Oryctolagus cuniculus: one gene and its partner. The protein of the gene in region 1 purifies or fractionates together with the protein of each later gene. This does not show direct contact. Links are inferred from orthologs where the notes say so. Each region holds a gene or a part of one and is shown on either strand. Other genes may lie near its edges.

What was found. The genes of interacting proteins can lie anywhere in the genome.
Region 2: the proteins of MYO1E (region 1) and OSTF1 purify together in Homo sapiens (co-immunoprecipitation; 3 studies listed by BioGRID and IntAct, counting the BioPlex papers as one, with this or other methods). This does not show direct contact. The link is inferred for Oryctolagus cuniculus from reciprocal best matches to the Homo sapiens genes MYO1E and OSTF1.

Annotation. Positions count from the first base shown.
Region 1 is NC_091443.1:82,023,626-82,027,763, forward strand, and holds part of MYO1E (unconventional myosin-Ie), read right to left. Parts: intron 3,417-4,138; coding exon 3,259-3,416; intron 1,719-3,258; coding exon 1,626-1,718; intron 1-1,625. UniProt on the Homo sapiens protein: Actin-based motor molecule with ATPase activity. Unconventional myosins serve in intracellular movements. Their highly divergent tails bind to membranous compartments, which are then moved relative to actin filaments.
Region 2 is NC_091432.1:155,170,528-155,175,390, forward strand, and holds the start of OSTF1 (osteoclast-stimulating factor 1), read right to left. Parts: upstream 3,078-4,863; coding exon 2,945-3,077; intron 1-2,944. Other genes in the region: NMRK1 (nicotinamide riboside kinase 1), read left to right, coding at 3,076-4,034.

The sequences.
Region 1 (4,138 bases):
GAAAGGTCTTCCTTTTTGCCGTTGGTTCACCCTCCAATGGCCACCATGGCTGGTTCGCTGCGGCCGGCGCATCGTGCTGATCCAATGGCAGGAGCCAGGTACTTCTCCTGGTCTCCCATGGGGTGCAGGGCCCAAGGACTTGTGCATCCTCCACTGCACTCCCTGGCCACAGCAGAGAGCTGGCCTGGAAGAAGAGCAACTGGGATAGAATCCGGCGCCCCGACCGGGACTAGAACCCGGTGTGCTGGCACCACTAGGCGGAGGATTAGCCTAGTGAGCCGCTGCGCCGGCCTGGGCACTGGCTTCTACGTGAGCATGGCCAGGAGGCTTCCGGGGCGGGAGACACAAGAGATGCTTTCACTGCCTGTCCTGGACACAGGTGTACGCAGGGATGATCTGAGACGGGAGCTCCCCAAAACCGCCCTCTTGGACCTGGAACCCTAAATTGACTAAACAGCCACCACTCTGGGAACAGCTTTTTGTGAATTGAATTTTGTGGAATGATGGGAAAACATGTCAATCTCCAAAGTGCTCTTGAAACATGAAACAGATGTGGAGGGACACAAAATCTTCAATTTATTCTGGCTTGTTGTTTACTGATCTGCAAGTTATCTTTTTATTTTCAGAAGAATGAGAAATATGAAAATATAGAGGCCCCCCAAACCCCTCTTGCAACAATTTTAAAATTCTTTTAGGGATTTACTAATTTATTTGAAAGGCAGAACAACAAAGAAAGAGAGAAAGGGAGAAAGGGAGAGAGGGAGAGAGGGAGAGAGGGAGAGAGGGAGAGAGGGAGAGAGGGAGAGAGGGAGAGAGGGAGAGAGGGAGAGAGGGAGAGAGGGAGAGAGGGAGAGAGGGAGAGAGGGAGAGAGGGAGAGAGGGAGAGAGAATCTTCTATCCACTGGTTCACTCCCCTAAAAAGCTACAACAGCCAGGAGGTTTCGGCCAGACTGGAGCCAGGAGCTCCGTCCACGTCTCCCACATCGGTGGCAGGGGCCAAGCACTTGGACCATTATCCACTGCCTTTGCAAGCACATTAGAAGGAAGATGCATTGGAAGCAGAACAGCCAGGACTCCCACTGGCACTCGAGACAGGATTCTGGCATTGCAAGCTGTGGCTTAACCCACTGCGCCACAACACCAGCCTTGACTTGAGAACAGATCTTCCGGATTCTAACTAAGAATAAATTTTTCTGCCCACTCTTTAAGCTGTTAACTAGTTGAAAAATACCGCAGAGGGATCTGTCTGGAGCTGGCTAGTGGGGGTGGGGTTAGACCCAACCGACTCCATTTCCATGAAGGCAGCATCCCACATCCTAAAACTGACAGCATTCAGTTGTCACGGAAGAAGGGTTCCTTTTGTGGATACGGATGCAGGACGGTCTTCCTAAGGGAGTCATACAGACGGGTGATGAAACCCAGACCGTTAGCGCAGTGACGGCTCAGTCTCACCGTCACTTCTCCTAAGTTTGGGGGTCACGAGTAGGGCCAGCGTGTCGGTAGGACACCTGGCGCTGCATCGGTCCGTGGCTGCATTTCCGTGCTAATGGGCTTCTTCCCATTCATAATGGACAACGCCCGGGTCCAGATTTAGTGGCGTCAGTCACGGTGCTCAGGTGGCTCACCTGGGGGAAGCGGGGCAGCTCTCATGGGGTAGTTGGCGTTCTGAGTCCCACTGGAATAACCTCTGTTTTGGATGGTGTTCCTTCTGGTAGGACCTGAAATAAACAAGCAAGACAAAGTGAAAGTCAGCGCGACTTAGGGTTCCCATGGAAAACTTTAGGGAAGGGGACGGGTACAGAGGGGACGGGATAGTCCATGGAAGTACAGTGCAGGGAGCCCCGGGGTGGGAGAGGCGGGAGCACGTGTCCACAGAGGCACAGTTCTGCATTACTGGAGATGGCGGCTTTTCAAAGACAGAGCGACCGTAGACACTGCACACACAGAAGTGCCCAGTGTTAGCTCAGCACCTGGGCTCTGTACAGCGGACACTGGCACCCAGCACAATCCCGCACTGACTGCACACCTGCCTGTGAATGGAGCCCTTCACACACGAGCTCGTGTGTACAGTTTGCCCACCGGGCACAGAGGCCACGAAGGGGGAGCAGATCTGCATGCTCCCCACAGACGTGCAGGAACCAGGCAACACCCCTGCGGGCTGGAGTTAGGGCTGGGACGGCAGGGCCAGGAGACATATCTGAGAACAGTAAAAAGGTCTCAAGTGGGCCATGAAGGAGGGCAGGATAAGCAGCTGCAAGAGGGATGCAGAGGGAATTTCTTGCAAACAGAAGAACTGAAGAACACAGGAAGGTGAGAAGTGACCGAGCACATACGGCATCAAGCAAGGGAACAGCCCTGCGGTCCTGGGAGGGGATGCTGGGTGAGCCGGCTGTGAGGCCCAGCACCAGGCACAGGGCTCCCTGTGGTACTGAGACCACCCCTCCCCACCCAGGAGGGTGTAATCAACTACCCTGTGAGTCCATGTTCTGCTTTGGGCCTACTGAACACCCCATGCACCTTAGTGTGCCCCACTCTGCCCTGCGGTCTGAGCCCCGTGGATGGCTAGGCCTCTGCATGCCAGCTGGGTGTGGCCAATGGGAGGCGCAAGGCAGGAGACAGGAATGCCAAGGACAGAGGGGCTGGGTACTGAGTGTGCCGGCCTCCTGTCTGCATCCTTAGCTCAACCCTTCTCTCCCTCTGCTGCTGCAGGTCTGCTGGCAATAATGTTGCCTTTTCCTGGGACCCTACTTGTTTCCCTCTAACCCCCACCTTTGATTTAAAAGCATCTTCAAAAACGTCACTGAAATGTGCTATCCGATTAAGTGCCGATCAATATACACACACCAACGCTTCCCGAGTGGGTCCATACACATACAGATATGACAATAGTAATCGGCACTGCACAACATATCCGAGAGCACACCAATGCATAGCTCTGCAGATGGGGTTTGATCAAAGCCTGTTTTATATGTGGCATCCTCTTCATTGATGGGCTATCTGTAGGGCATACGAATCCACAGCCCATGTGATGATGCTGTTCTGTGCATTATAAATGTAAGTTTGTAATGCCAGGCACGCTATTCATAAAGTCGTCAGCTGCCCGTTTCCCTCAATATTTCTCGGACCTGGAACGCCCCCTCCCGGAAGCAGCAGCTATCCTGAGGCAGCCTCCCAGAGCTGGGCATGTACTGTCAGCATTTGGTCACAAGAGCGGGGTGTGGAGCAGCACTGCCGCCGGCAGGGCCCTGGGACACTTACGGGAGTTCTTGGGCAGCCCGGGTCCGATGCTGACCTGTAGCACTTTGTTACTGGGCTTGAGGATGGCCAGGTCACCGAAGCCTTGGTGGAACTGCACCTGCCGAGAGCCCCCAGCACTCCAGGGACCCCAGTTCTCCTTTTTCAACTTCAGTTCAAGCCTGCAGCAAGGGCATGTGTTGGAATTAACAACCCGATCAGAACAACGGTGCTCACGGACCCCAGCAGGGCGTTCAGCTGCAGGCAAGGTGCGCCACACCATGCGGTAAACCTGGCCAGTGGGGACCAGGTGCAGGGCCCTGGGGGTGGGCACAGCAGTCACAGGTGTGGCGCAGCCGCCAGGTGACCACTGCACCAGAAGCAGATGCCTCGGGGAGCAGCACCTGTGAGAACCCGGCTGGCCAGGGAGACGCCCTGCTCACTGGCCAGCGTCACTTTGTCAGATGGACTCAGAAGCAACTGTCAGAAGGGACAATTTCCAGGCCACACCTGCTGTGCCGTGTCACTGTGCTTTTCACTGGACCTTGTGGGAGACCGAGAGATGCCAGGCACGAGGTGCCTCAGGGCACCTTGGCAGAACGTGACCACGATTTAACTGTGATCACATCATTACCACCACTCCCCACACCCAAGGAGGGGACAAAAGCATGAGCCGCCAAGATCCAAGCAAAAGGGAAGCGTTCTCATTGTTCCCAACTCCGCAGCCAGTTTGAAAGTTTCCCTTGCACCTCTAGGCCTCCATTATGCAACCCATATTCTATTTAAGCTTGTGTTTTCTCATGTTGCAACAAAGAAAAACCATTTTCAGTAGCTATTAGACACCTCCCTCATCGAGGCACTGAGGCTTGGTCTCGGCCTCATTCTTCTCAGCAGGAAGAAGCAG
Region 2 (4,863 bases), on another chromosome or scaffold:
TCTGACACCTGGCCAAATAAATTTAGCAATCAACATGATAATTAACATTCTGGAATTTTCAAGATGGTTTCAGAGTTAAGGCATGTGCATATTTCAAAGCCAACCCCATACTCTGACCTTTGATTAATTCATTTATCCAAAGGGTTAAGTTTACATAGAAGTTCAAGTTATTTTAGAGGAAGACTTTTTCCTCCCCAAAGTGTTACTAAAGCAGCATATGTGCGATGCCTTTGAAGTTTTATGATGTTTTTACCACGACTAACGAAAGAACTCAAAACACTGACATTTGCTTCTTCAAAGTCACAGGAATTTATTTTCACAAGACACATGAAATATTTATGTTGCTTTACTTCCACCACCAAAATCAATACGCCATTTGAAAGAAATAGCCAAGGTCAGACATCAGGGTTCCAAATGTAATGGATTGGTATCAAGCCTTCTTAGAATAAGATGATTCAAGGGTCCAAAGCTTATCCAATACCCTTTGGTCCATCCTTAGCTCAAGTTCAGAGCCATTCTCCTTGCTGCTACCATCCAGGGGGTGACCTTTCTCTGCAGTGTCACAAGGAAGTCTGACTGAAGACCAGTTGTCCCTTCCTTTTCACTTCCTGCCCACCAGCTCCAACAAACACATGACCACTCATGTGAATGGTACACCATGCCTAAAGCAAAATAACATAGTGTTTAAATTCACTCTGAGTTCTAATCCTACTGGCTACCTCTTTGCCCAGAATTTGACTTTCAGCAAGTCAATCAACACTTCTGTGTCTTGTCTTCATCTTGTCACCTGTGCAATGTGTACAGAAACAATGCAGATCTCACATGGTTGTTGGGAAAAATAAGTGAATTAATACACGTAAAAGTTGGGACACTTCTGTTTGCAATTAAGCCAATACAAAATTTCAAGTCTGACTGACACTAATATTTCTCAGCGTAAATTATAATGCAAAAAAACTGATTTTTTAAGGTTGTTTTCATTTATTTATTTGAAAGGCAGAGTTACTGAAAGAGACAAGGAGAGACACAGAGAAATCTTCCATCTGCTGGTTCATACCCTAAATGGCTGCAACAGCCAGGGCTGGGCCAGGCAGGAAGCCAGGAGCCAGGAGCTTCATCCAGGTCTCCCACTTGAGCACAGGGAGTCAACCACTTGGAACATCCTCCGCTGCTTTCCCAGGAGCATTAGCAGGGAGCTGGATCAGAAGTGGAGCAGCCAGGACTTGAATCAGTGTGCATATGGGGTTCAAGCGTTGCAGGCAGAGGCTTTACCCACTATAGCACAGCGCCACCCCCCCCCAAAAAAAAAAAAAAACTGATTTCTATAATGTCTGTATTTGTGTTTGGATCTCATTGACAACTTACTGTGAAGTCAAAGTTCTCTACAACAGCAGTCATATTTAACTATGTGCTTTCTGAGTTACTCAGGAGGAAGGGAGGGGTAGGCATTGTGGTTCAGTGGGTTAAGCCATACTTGCAATACAGGGATCCTCTATCTGAGTACCGCAGCACCACTGCTCCACTTCCAACCCAGCTCCCTGTTAATACTCCTGGGAAAGCAGTGGAAGGCGGCCCAAGTACCTGGTCCCCTGCTACCCACGTGAAGAGATCAGGATGGAGTTCCTGGTTCTTAGGTTCTGTCTGGCCCATCCCTGCTTGTTGAGACCATTTGAAGAGTGAACCAGAGAATGGAAAATCGATCTCTCTCTCTCTCTCTCTTTCCCCCTCCCTCTCTCCCTTTCTCCCTCTCTTTCAGTTTCTCCCTCTGTATCAATCTGCCTTTCAAATCATACAACAAAAATGGTTCCCAGGAGTGAGCACTCAACTAGTTACAGGATGATTCCGTAAGCCACACCCAAGCATGCATGAATACACAAGCAAGCACACACTCAGCGGCAGCACACACACACACACACACACACTCCTATCGCTGCCCTCCAGATGCAACACAGGCATCACTTACGTCTGGAGAGATGAACTGCTTCTCAGAACACTCTTTAAAGCACTCTGCTTAGCAATCAAAAACCGACTCTGCTTTGTTGGACACTAGAGGTCCTGATTTACATCTGGGTTTAGAAAGCTGACATCTCGTGCATACATACTTCACATGCAAATTCCTCGTCAGATTCCACAAGCAAAGCAGAGCTTTGCCCCATCTTTTGCTCCCCGCGTGGCCAGACTCAGCAGCTGCCTTCACACCCAGCTGACCAAACTGGAAACCTTCATGGACTGACTATTGCACAAGGGTGACTGTTCTGAAGTACAGGAACCTGAGCCCGCCACTGAATGATCTCAAAAGAAAGACAACCTCACAATCACTAAAGCTGTAGAGCTTACCCAACATTTAGGAAGGTCAAGGGAATATAATGAACCCACGCGACTACCTCTTGCTACTGAAGTCACTTCAAAACCTGACGTAAACAGATTAAGTTTCAGCCTTTGCTATTCCGAAATTACAAGACTGGAAGAAAAAAATATTGAGAGTCTTTCGGGTCATTTATCTACCTTTTCCTACCTTTCCCTTAATACACACTCAGCTGTCCCTAAGAGTGTGTTAACGGTGCTGAATTGAAATGTCAGCCCCTTTTAAACGCTCTCGCTTCTCTCTAACGCAGAGAATACTTTGAGAGTCACAAACGAACAAGAACAATCGGCCAAGAAAACTGCTTGGAGGAGTTGGCGAGCGTCACGCCCAAGCCCCTGGAGAGGCCGAGGCGGAGGACGCGGTTGCGCGCCACCGCGGCACCTGCGAAAAGCCACGGCCGAGGTGACCGTGCCGCAGCCCGGAGGGACCCACGGACGCCCCACCGCAGACCCCGGGGTCCCCACCCAGCGTCGCCAGGCTCCCGAGCCCCGCAGGCGGCCGGCTCATCACCCCACCCTGCGGGCCGCGCACTTCCCGTTCGCCCCGGCCGGTCAAGAACTGGAGTTTGACAGTGACACGCACCGAGAAAGAGGAAGTGGCGAAGGAGCCTTCCCAGCCACACTGTTTTCCGTTTTCTAAGGCGATCGACGGCCCTGGCTCCCTGGACAGCTTCGACGGGACTTGGCCATCGCACTCCCGAGAAGGTGGAGCGCATGACAACGTTGCAAACCCCAGCGCGACGCCTCTTTAACAAGTTTTTTTTTTTTTCTTTTTTTAAGATCCTCGAAATCCTTTTGCTCTCCAAAAGTGATCCAGCAAAGCTAAGGACCCCGGCGGTGGGGAGTCTGACTGGGAAAGCGAGGCTCGGGGCCGGAACGCGCCCGGTCCGCCTTGCCAAGTGGCACAGGAAGCGCAGGGCACCGAGGCGGCCGGAGGACCCGGCGAGCGCCTGCCTTACCTGGTTTGACTGGTTTGGGAGGCGGCTTCGACATCTCGCTTCCTGGAGCGGTGACTCCCAAAGACCCCAACGAGAAAAGCCAACCGGTCGCCCAGTCAGCCTGCACTGCGGACGCCCCCAAAGTTTCTTTTTGTGTGATTGGCAGACCCAGCGCCTCCAAGGACCTGCGCCCAGACTCGGCTGCGCGAGGAACGGACGCGGTCAGAGCGGCCGGGCCCAGCGCTCCGCCCCGGCCCGCCCCGCCCCGCCCGCGGCCGGAGCCCTCCCGGGCGCGCGCCGGGCCGACGAGGAAGTGGCCGCCGGCTCGCCGCGCGCTAATTGGCTCCCAGGGTGGCAGCTTCGCCGCGGCTCGGAGCGCGGGGCGGCGCGCACGGCGGCGGGACCAGCAGCGACCGGGCGAGGGCGCTGCAGACACGCGCCAGGGCAGGTCTGGCCGCGCGCACCCGCGACGGAAGGGGGCCGGAGCCTTGCGGGAGCGCGCGCGAGGCCACGCTCCCCGGAGCCCCGCCTCAGTCCCGCCCCGTCGCGGACTGCAGCTGGCCGCTGCGTCGGACCCGGGTGGGCAGGGGCGCCTTCGGGGGCCGCACCTACCTGGCCGGCTTCCTACCTGGGCGGAGCGCGGGGGAAGGCGGTGGGGAGTGGCGGGTCAGCGCCAGGCGCGCACTTGTCCGTCGCCTCTGCAGCGCTGCCGCCGGAGACGCGAGCCGGAGCCAGGTGAGTGCCGGCCTTTCCCCGCTGCACCGCCTCGCGGGGCCTGGGGGTCGTTGCAGAGTGGGTCTGCGTGGGACTCTGGCCTCCCGGAGCGGGCCAGAGGAGGACGCGTGCTCCTGACGGCTTGGGGCTTAGCGTCCCGTGCGAATCCGGGAAATGGGCGCGCTCCCTGCACGGGAACGCACAGGGAGTGCGGAGCACTCACAGAGTCGCACAGAAAGGCTTTGACGTCCTCAGGCCCACTATTGCCTGAGTGTGTACGGCTTTTTAAGAAGTTTCCTACGCTTTTTTAATGGCTGAAGAGAAACCAACAGTATTTTGTAGCACGTGAAAATATGGTGAGATTTAGATGCAGCGGCCCTTATAAAGATTCGTTAGCAGGCGGTCGTGGTCCGTTTGTATATGGATTGTCTGCGCTGCCTTCACTAAGGACCGAAGGCTTGAGTAGCTGCCTGCAAAGTCCAAGACGGTTACTATCTGACACTTTACAGGAAAAAAAAAAAAAAAAAAAAAAAAAAAAAAAAAAAGGTGACCTCTGATCTAGCAGATTAAATCTCCCAGGAGGCTAGGGCTGTGTGCACAAATTCACCATAGCCTCGTCAGCCTTTTACGCTGGTTAAATATTTGGGGAAACAACAATTGAAAAGAAAAAGTATTTACGTAAGGCTGTATAGCAGTGAGCTTTCAGTGTTTCTACGAGAGGTTGGTTTTTCAAAATGGAGAGTTGAATGGGAAAGGGGCCTGGATTACGTTTGCAGGAACCCCAGCCTTGGGAAATTTCTGTTTACCAAAAGGAAGCAAACCTTGAACAAGTAGGAAGAGGCTGCCTGTC